2 linked regions of the Drosophila melanogaster genome follow. The protein of the gene in region 2 interacts with the protein of the main gene of each other region in a pairwise test. Each region holds a gene or a part of one and is shown on either strand. Other genes may lie near its edges.

Region 1 (5,125 bases), on a different chromosome or scaffold from region 2:
ACTTGCCCCTCGCGGAAACTTCAATCAACTAAAGATTTCTCTCTATGAAAAACTTGCAAATTACTCAAATTCACCAAGCACTATTGAAATGCAGTTGAAGAAGTCCAAATAATTTGTAAATTATTAGAAAGTTTGACGAAAATTGCATGCAACCTCTTGCGCAGTAATTCCCAACGGATTTAAGTGATTTCCATTGACAGTGACACATTCTCTATGGAATTCGTCACGCACTCGGAACTAAAAAGTTACAAGCTCGCAAATGTATTTGGATATCTAAATAACTAGCTTTTTGAGAATATTTTAGAAAGTTAAATAATAAAATCACTTCATTTTTAATTGGTAATATTTTTCGAAATGTAAATTAGCCCATTAAACTAAATAAATGATTTGTGCCAACTGTCAGAAATTGAAAACGTATTGTTTGCTTGTTAGGGAATTACGCCGTCCAATTGGTTGTAAGTAGCGACCCCTTCACTTAACCCCCGATTAACCCACGATTCCCAAGCGAAGCCCCCAAAGATATGCAACAGTTAACAGTCGGACGTCTAATTTAATTGGCTTAGCTAGAGCTGTGGGCTTAGGGCCCTCGTCTTTGGGCTTTGGAAGCGGGGCTTAGGGCTCCGCCACTTTACAGTGCTGACAACCGACTTGGGGCATTAACCTCCTGATGGCCAAGGGGTTTGCCGAGCGACTGGGTCGCCGAAAGCATCGTAAAACGCTGCGTATCAAATTATCGTTAGATTTATTGCCAGCCAGCCAGCCAGCCAGCCAGTTGCCTTCAATATGCACTTTTTATGTTAGCAACCGAACAACAGAGAATGTTGTTAAAAAGGGAAATATATATTTTCAAGTAGGAAGAGTAGGGCTGTCCAGATGACAGTTGGATTGCATAGCACTCGATTTATTCCACTCTCAGTACCGCGGATTGCTAAGAGCAAGGGATTTGATAATATAAAATATATAAATATGAATAATCATATTACATATGAATGCACGAATTAATGCAGCAATAAATGCTTAAAATATTGCAATCACTTTGTTCGTAATGTAAACATTAATATGGTTTGCATTTTTAATACTAACATAAACATGCACAAATTAATTGCATGGTACATAAACACTTTTGGGGTATATTAGCCGAGCAGTATCTCATGTTATTCTACAAAAGAATAATAGTAAGCTTTTACGTCAGCCTAAATTAGCATACACATTGCTGTAAGGATATTCATGATTTTATTAATTTATTTTCAATACGAAAATTTTCAGAACGAAATAAACGAAGTGCTAGTACCCTCCAATTTGTGAAATATTGTTTTACTCTTGTCTTTTCTTGAGGCAATATTTTAAGAATGTTGTCCTTAAGTCAGCTTTGTTGTTTAGAATAATACTGATCTATGTTTTGCTTTCCCTTTACCCAAAAACTGATATATGTACATGGGCTGGTAAAAGGCAGCGATACATGATTTAATAGAGGCTTTTCCTAGTGATACGGATGCTGTTTGCCCAGATTCCATCTGCCGTTGGCCATTTTGCAGTTGATGCCAATGCAGTTTTCAATTATGCATGCGTTTCGACAGGTGGCGCCCTGAATCACTTGGCATGCGTCATGAATTTTTCATGATGTCGGCAACGCCTGCTCCTGCGTTTTTCAGCATTTTCCGATCACCCTCCTTCTGCATTTTCCAATCTGCAAGTCCCCGCCACCTTTCGACTGACACACACGTTTAGCTTGCTGGTACGGATGATTGGATCGACATTATGCAGCTTTTTCATCTCGCATTGGAGCCAATCAGTCAGTAGGAGTGGATGGGGTGTAATGGGCCGCGGGGGCGTGGCTGGTGCATTGTTAGCTGCGTTGCAATTCACCTGGCTGATTACCGAAACGCTGACGGAGCCCCGACAATTGTGAGTGCGAATATGAGAAAATGCAGCCATGTGGCATAAATATTAAGTATACGACGTGTGGGCCGCCTGCAATTGTCCTTCCCATTATTGAAAGTGACAATGGAACTATTATTGCTGGCATTCATTGATAGTATAAGCCCCTCCTCCCACTTGTTTGCCGTTCATACAATATTATCCCTCTAAAATACCAAGAATTTTCCATTAATTGTGCCTTTAATCTTTCATTAAGCAATTCCTACCTCTCATAATAAGTATGTTTGCTCATTTTGAATAAAGGAATATATTTGTTGACATATAATCAAGTAACGTGTACACCAATTAATAGTAAGAGACAATAACCCTAAGCTCTCATAATTAATATAATGTTGGTATGCTTCAGCATTTACTGCAAATTAAAATGTAGAAATGTGAAATGCATAAGTCCTGCATTTCAAATTAATGATATACTATATTATAGATTTATAACATTACCTTCTAATTTTGTAACACAAAACTAATATTTACATGTTAAAATGGTACTTTGTGGCTTAAAATATTGTTAATTTATGTTTCATAGCCTTTACTAGATTACCGAAGATCCCCATTTTATTGCTATTCATATGTTTTGTTATTAAGTCCCCTGTTTTGATTTGTGGTCACAAAACCTAGGCCCCTTTTAAATGACAAAGTAATGGCCATGCCAAGTGTATCCGGGTATTAGCCAAAGGCATTGGCAGGACTTAACCACGCGTGGGATAAACGTTCAAATAACTCAGACAAGACTTGGTGAAAACAAGGATAAAGACTCTCGAGGGGCTCACAAAATCGTAAAAACGCCGTATGTGGAGTGGAAATCTTTGTTGCAATAATTCGTATTTCTGGACCAGGGCAAAAATAGAGTGTAATGAAATGAAAGATTCATGCTAATGGCTTTTGGCGACTTGGCCCATCTAAACTATGCAAAGTGTTTTCGCCGCAAAACGGAGGCACTGTTTATAAATAATAAATCGAACGGGTATGACAATCGCTCACCTCCAAAGAGGCCAGACAACGCCTATCCTTCCGCACTTTCAAATTCAGTTCAGTTTGCCCGAAAGTTGGCGCACTTTCCTAGCGTTCTGTGCGTGCTTCTCGTACCGGGCCAACGGGGCGTATGAGCGACGGCGAAGCGCAGCTACCAGGTATCGAATATCAAGTAGCCGACTGCGGAGGCGACCTGCCACAAGGCGACACAAAAGCGAACTGAGGCGCCCATCCGGCGACTGGTGGCCGCCACAGCCACATGGAAATGATGCTGCCACCCGAAGCCGTGCAGTTCGTACAACTCGGCTCCGAGCACTCGGATCTCGGATCTCCGAGTTGCGAGTGCCCCGCAAAAAGGATGCAAGGGAGCGGCGGACACAGTCGTGGCAGGATATCCCGCTGTTTGGGCACACACACACACACACACGGGGGCAGAAAAGTCGAGCGTGGGCAAGTCGAAAACCATTAATTTAAATATTATATTGTGATTACATTTCTATATTTATATTTTTTTTGTATAACAAGTTGGAATATACTCACGTTTGGAATTTCATTTTTCGCACAGTAAGCTACCCGCGAAGCTACACCAATTTTGCGTCCACCACCGTTTCGAGGCGTCGACTTGAGTCCTGTCTTTTGGATAAAGTCGACACCTGACCGCCACTCTGTCCAGGGAAAGTCCGGCTAATTACCCTAGTGTCCGGCCGTATTTGGCGGTCAGGCGGCAGTGTCCTTGTGGTCCTTCACCCTCGCCTGCCGTTGAGTGACTTCTTACATCTCCGTGTGATATCATTTGACACAAAGTCAACGTTCAGGTGAACTCAATTTGCACCTGCACAAGCTTGCCACACCTGTGCATATGAGTTTTTTATGTACATACACTGGCAAAATAGACACCTAAGAAAATTTAAATCAGTGACATATTTGGATGTAACTTATGTTCCTTACTTTTTTTTTACAACATACTTATTTTGCATTAACAATTTAAACACCGAATGTTCATACTATAATTCAATACTATTACTATAATTCACTGTGGATTTAGTCTCAGGCTTAATTTTATGTTTTAAAATGTTGTAAAAACAGGAGAACTCGCTTCCGTTATTTTGCAGTGGATTTTAGTGTGAGCTTAAGCCGCAGAAAATTGTTCCTTCCCGTTGCTCCTCTGGCGTCCGTTTGGCCCGAACCTCGGCTTTGATTTGGAGTGCTGTTTATGCATGCAACAGGGCGTATGAGTACTGGCTAATTGGCTGGAGGTGGCGGCAGGTCACAAGTCACATAGCAACAAGTGCAGCTCAACTGGCTCGCTGCTGGCAGTACAAAGAAAGTATACGGAATTAGGAAGAGCATGGAAAATTAGGTAATTAACAGTAATTGTAAAGTTACACAACTTTTGTCATTAGTTTTTAACTAATTTAAATTATATTTTTTCAAAGAGGTTTGCGCACAAACTTTTACCAAATTGAAATGATTGAAAAATTGATAGAGCATTGGATAATAGTTTTATAGTTTTATTTTTTTGTTAAGATGTAGATATTAGTTAATACAAGCAACTCCACCACTTGTCGCAGTTAAGCAACTTTGATGAAATTTTCAAATTCCACCACTTGTATCGAACTTTTCGTACAAGATTGCCACTAATAGCTGCAATTTCTCCCCCATGGAAGCCACAATATTGGACCCACTGCCTGGAAATTCAATTGAAATGCAGCTGTTGGCTCGCTTTTTGCTCGACTTTGCTTGTTTCGTGCTTATTTATTGTTTTCGGTCGCATTTCGACGACACTTCGCATGGCTTGTTGCGCTATTGCCAAAAACGATAAAGCGGCAAAAGCAAAACATTTAATTGGCGGCTGCCCCATGTCCAGCTCAGTTTTTTTTTTTTTTTTTTTTTTTTTGTCAGCTAACTTTCTTTCCGCAAAAAAGCGAACCGAAATAATGAAAAAAAAGCGGACACCCACACTCCCGCTAGCATACAAATGAAGAGTAATAGCCGCTGCCCCCCCCTGAAAACCCAGCCCCTGCTTAGTTGCTTATGCAAAGTTTTACACAAAAAACAGGTACAAGAAAAAAAAAATTGAGTCAAAAAACTACCGCAACAAAAGGCATTCGCGAGCGATGTGAAAAATAAAAGCAATTAAAAATTATAAATAAATATTGTAATAATTGTCGTATAATCGCCGCCGTGGAAGGCAGACGAAGAAGGCAACATAATTAAA
Region 2 (3,854 bases):
CGGGCCGGGCCTGGCTGGCATTGCCTATATTAACAATAATTCCTTTGTACCCGGGCATCTTGCCAAAAAGTTGGCGACCGCCCTGCTCCTGGCACAGCAGGCGACGAACGTTTTGTGGCCAATTTCCCGTACCCAGAGGCCGACTTTTTGTGTGACCCATTGTCAAGTCAAGTCAAGCCGGACAAGGTCTATCCTCGCTCCATCCACTCATGCACCATTCTGCCACCCGCTATACAGAGCGACTTTTGTCTAGAGTTAAACTCAAAAAAAAATATATAAAAAAAATCAAGAAAAAGTTGGCGAAGAAAGGCAGTACCATTGCGGCAGCGGCGTAAGCGAACTGCAAACTTTGGAGTCCATGACAACCAGTAAAACTGCTGAAAGACCATTGATTGAACCTGGTCATGCGGTTTGCTTGCATTTCCAAAGTTTCGCAACCCGACTTTGTTTGAGGCAGCTTAAAAATAAACAGAACATGTATTTTAAATCTAAGGATATCGTTCATGCGGACGGACATGGCTAGATCAACTCGGCTAGGGATCCTGATCAAGAATATACCCAAAGGTGTTACTCGTATACAAAAAAGTCTTTGTTAAAATTAAACTATAATACAAGTTTTTACAAATTCAATAAGAATTCGATCACTATTTTTAACAGAACATTATATCACACATTTAAGATGTAAGCTAAAGAACCCGCACCAAAATAAAACTCAAGTTCCAATTAGATTAGAGAAGCTTTTGTTGGCTGCTATTATAGATGTAGTAGTACCCTCCGTTGAATCGCAGTGTGGCAAGTTCATAGCGCATGGTGCCGCTCACCGGATTGGCCACCACTCGCACCGGCGACGAGGAGAAGGTAAGAGTGCGGTAGAAGAAGGCAGTCAGGAAGCTGGCACTGATCACAAAGGCCACAAAAAAACCCAGACAGAAGACACAATCCTTGTTCACTTGCAGACAAAGACAAAAGGCTGCCACAAAATCACAGATGGAGCGTCCAATTCGCGCGCAGATCGTTTGACGAAGCTGGCGAGGATTGCCCGGCAGATTGTTGCCACTAATCGTGAATGTGTGCAGCGTGCGTTCGCAGGGCGGTGGATTCGGATCTGGTCTCAGGTCGGTCAGATCCAAACGCAATCGCTGCGACTGCGATGGCAACTCAGCGGTCTGGGTTCCCAGTTCGCGATATTTTGGAATTTGGACAATCACTGCCGGCTGGAGTTGCTCCCGGCCCTCCATTGCATCAGGAATCTCGCGTGAGAAGCGACAGATTACTTCCAATACATTGTGCAACTGCTTAGGAGATCCTGGCATTTTTGAAATACCTGTCTTGGTCTGGTGACCCTGATCATCTTCTGATTTCTGACCCTTAACTGCGGACTGAGCACTCGTGCTCGGCTCATCATCCAGCTCTGAAATCACCCGATTGTTCTCCAACCGATCCGCATTCGAAAGATGCTCCTGTGGGTCGAGTTGTGCAGAAGCCTCCGTCTCTGTGGCGCCTAAATTCGCATCTTTTAGATACACAACATGACCATGTTCAACGGCGGGTGGCATATATATTATAACTTGACGTTGAGAATCCGGGGATGACGACCTCTTGTCCTCATCGTTCTTATCCATATGATTATCCATTGCGTTGTGTTGAAAACTGGGAATTTTTTTGACCAGCTAATACAAAATTTGAGTGATAAATTCAGTTCCGGTGTGATAGTTGTCAACATCGTTTTGTATATGCCGAAATTATGTTGACTTCAGTAGCTTGTAAGACATTTTTCGATACTTTTCCAAATTTGATCTGTGGACGCTGTAAACTTAATGGCGTGCAGGGAGCCACCGCAGACTGCGATCGTCATTAACTTGCTAATTGGCGATTTGGTTCAGGATGCCGTTAACGAGCCCCGCAAACTGTCCGAGCAGAAGAACACCTGCCAGCGGCTCTTCGATATTTTGGGCTTTCAAGCCGACGAATGTTTTGAGGATTTGGAAGATAGTGATCCGGCTGCAACACACAGCTCGATCACCGTACGCACCAATTCAAAATCGAATCTAGGCGGAGCAAACAAACGGAATTGGTACGGATGGATGTCCAAGGCATTGGCGGAAGGTAAAAAATATCAAAATAATGCATAAACCAATCTATAAAAAAAAGATAGGAACTGTCTCTTGGAGTTGTCCTTGAAAACTCTGAAAAATAACACTACTGTCATAAATCCATAAACAGTTTCATTTTGGTGAAACCAGATGTCACCCGCATTTATTTAGTATAGTTACTATAACTGTATCAACCCGCAGAAAATTCGGAAGACGATGTTGAGATCTTCAGGAAGAAGGATAGCGATGTGCTCAAGGACATCCACTCGATCGGCGTGCAGACGGAACAGCCGCGCCGGCGCATTAGAGTTTGTCCTGTGGACTTTGCCCCGGCTTTGGCACCCTGCGAATCGACACGTCACACGATATTCATCGATGCCGTTTCCATGCAGATTCCAAATGCACTAGGTCGACCACCGCTGGCCGATCGTTTTTGCTATATGCTAACCGATTTCGCTTCGGCACTATATTGTAGTCTCGCCATCATGTGTTGTTGCACACCCAATATGTTGAGATAAATTAGAATGCGCAATGCTGGTTGGAACTCTGTTCTGCTAATTCTGTTTACTGCATTTTTACTCATACAATCACGTGCAAAACGAATCATTCTTATTACAATTATTTGGACGGCATGCCGACATTGGTCTGCAAGTTGCCATAAAAGTGGCTTAGTAAGAGGTAAAGGCACCACAGGCACAGGACAATGAAGAGTGCCACTGTTAAATTCTCGCCGATTATAGAGGCGAATGCGACAATCGTATCCGCCGTCTGCACAAGGACCTGCCACATCCTTTGGTGCAGTGGGGGTCTTTGCATAGCCGTGGCCGATGTCACCGACTCCACCTCGATGTGGATCGTGTGCTGCTGGATCTTGCTGGGCTTGTCCGTTTCGAGATCGATACCACCGCCGCGTACAGCCGCCAGCTTCGCCTCCAAATCCTTGCTATTCATATTACTCTCGTCCGCTGCTGTCCACGAAGTCTGACTACTCACCTCGCAGGTGGGCTTGATTGTGACATCCGATAGCCGCGAAAGACTCGATGATCTATGCTCCACGATTTGATCTTCTGTTAAGATATCAAAGGCTGTTAGCCCTTCAATAAGAACGGAATTATACATTTATCTTACCTTGCTTAATAGCTAACTCTTCGGATCGGAATCGCTTCATGCGGCTTGTTTGTCCATATTCACTCTTTGGGAGCTTGATGTATTCCTCAAACAAATTGCACTTGCTGATCTGCCTGTGGGTTAGTTGGTCCCTTGGAATCTGAACATCTTTGTGCTCAGCATTCCAGCCAATAGATGGCGCTCTGATGCTATCATCCACTCTTTTTTCTGCTTGTGCAGTTATAGAGATATCGTCTCCAGAAGTGTCACTTTTTGAACTAAGCATGTAGAGTTCTTCTAGTCGCTCCTTGCCTTTGTGATTCAATATGTTTTTCGTGTGAAAATCATGAGTGTGAGTTAAATTTATTTTCTACCATTTCTGTCATTTAAAATCAGTCTGGCTAAAAATTCGTAGCAAAGGGTTGCTTTATCATCTGCCTCAAACGACCATGGCAGACCGGCAATTGAGCCTCGTTGGCCAGTGGATAATTTTTGCGCTAAATTAAGCAATTTCCTTTCCTGTCTGGCCGGGCAAAACCAGAAGCTGCTGTCCATCGACACTTCAGGGTCGACTGTCGTCTATGGATTTTCCTGTCTAATATGACAATTATGACGGTCTACTGCACTAATGTTATTTTGCATAAGTGCATTTTA

Evidence for each region.
Region 1: the proteins of CG16853 (region 2) and CG12994 interact in a two-hybrid assay, tested with the Drosophila melanogaster proteins (one large-scale study listed by BioGRID).

Annotation. Positions count from the first base shown.
Region 1 is NC_004354.4:17,440,892-17,446,016, forward strand, and holds the start of CG12994 (uncharacterized protein), read right to left. Parts: upstream 3,104-5,125; 5' UTR 2,917-3,103; intron 1-2,916.
Region 2 is NT_033779.5:13,540,432-13,544,285, reverse strand, and holds CG16853 (uncharacterized protein), read right to left. Parts: upstream 1,818-3,854; 5' UTR 1,635-1,817; coding exon 729-1,634; 3' UTR 726-728; downstream 1-725. Other genes in the region: CG9263 (uncharacterized protein), read left to right, coding at 1,818-2,106, 2,295-2,611; CG16852 (uncharacterized protein), read right to left, coding at 2,712-3,160, 3,222-3,486.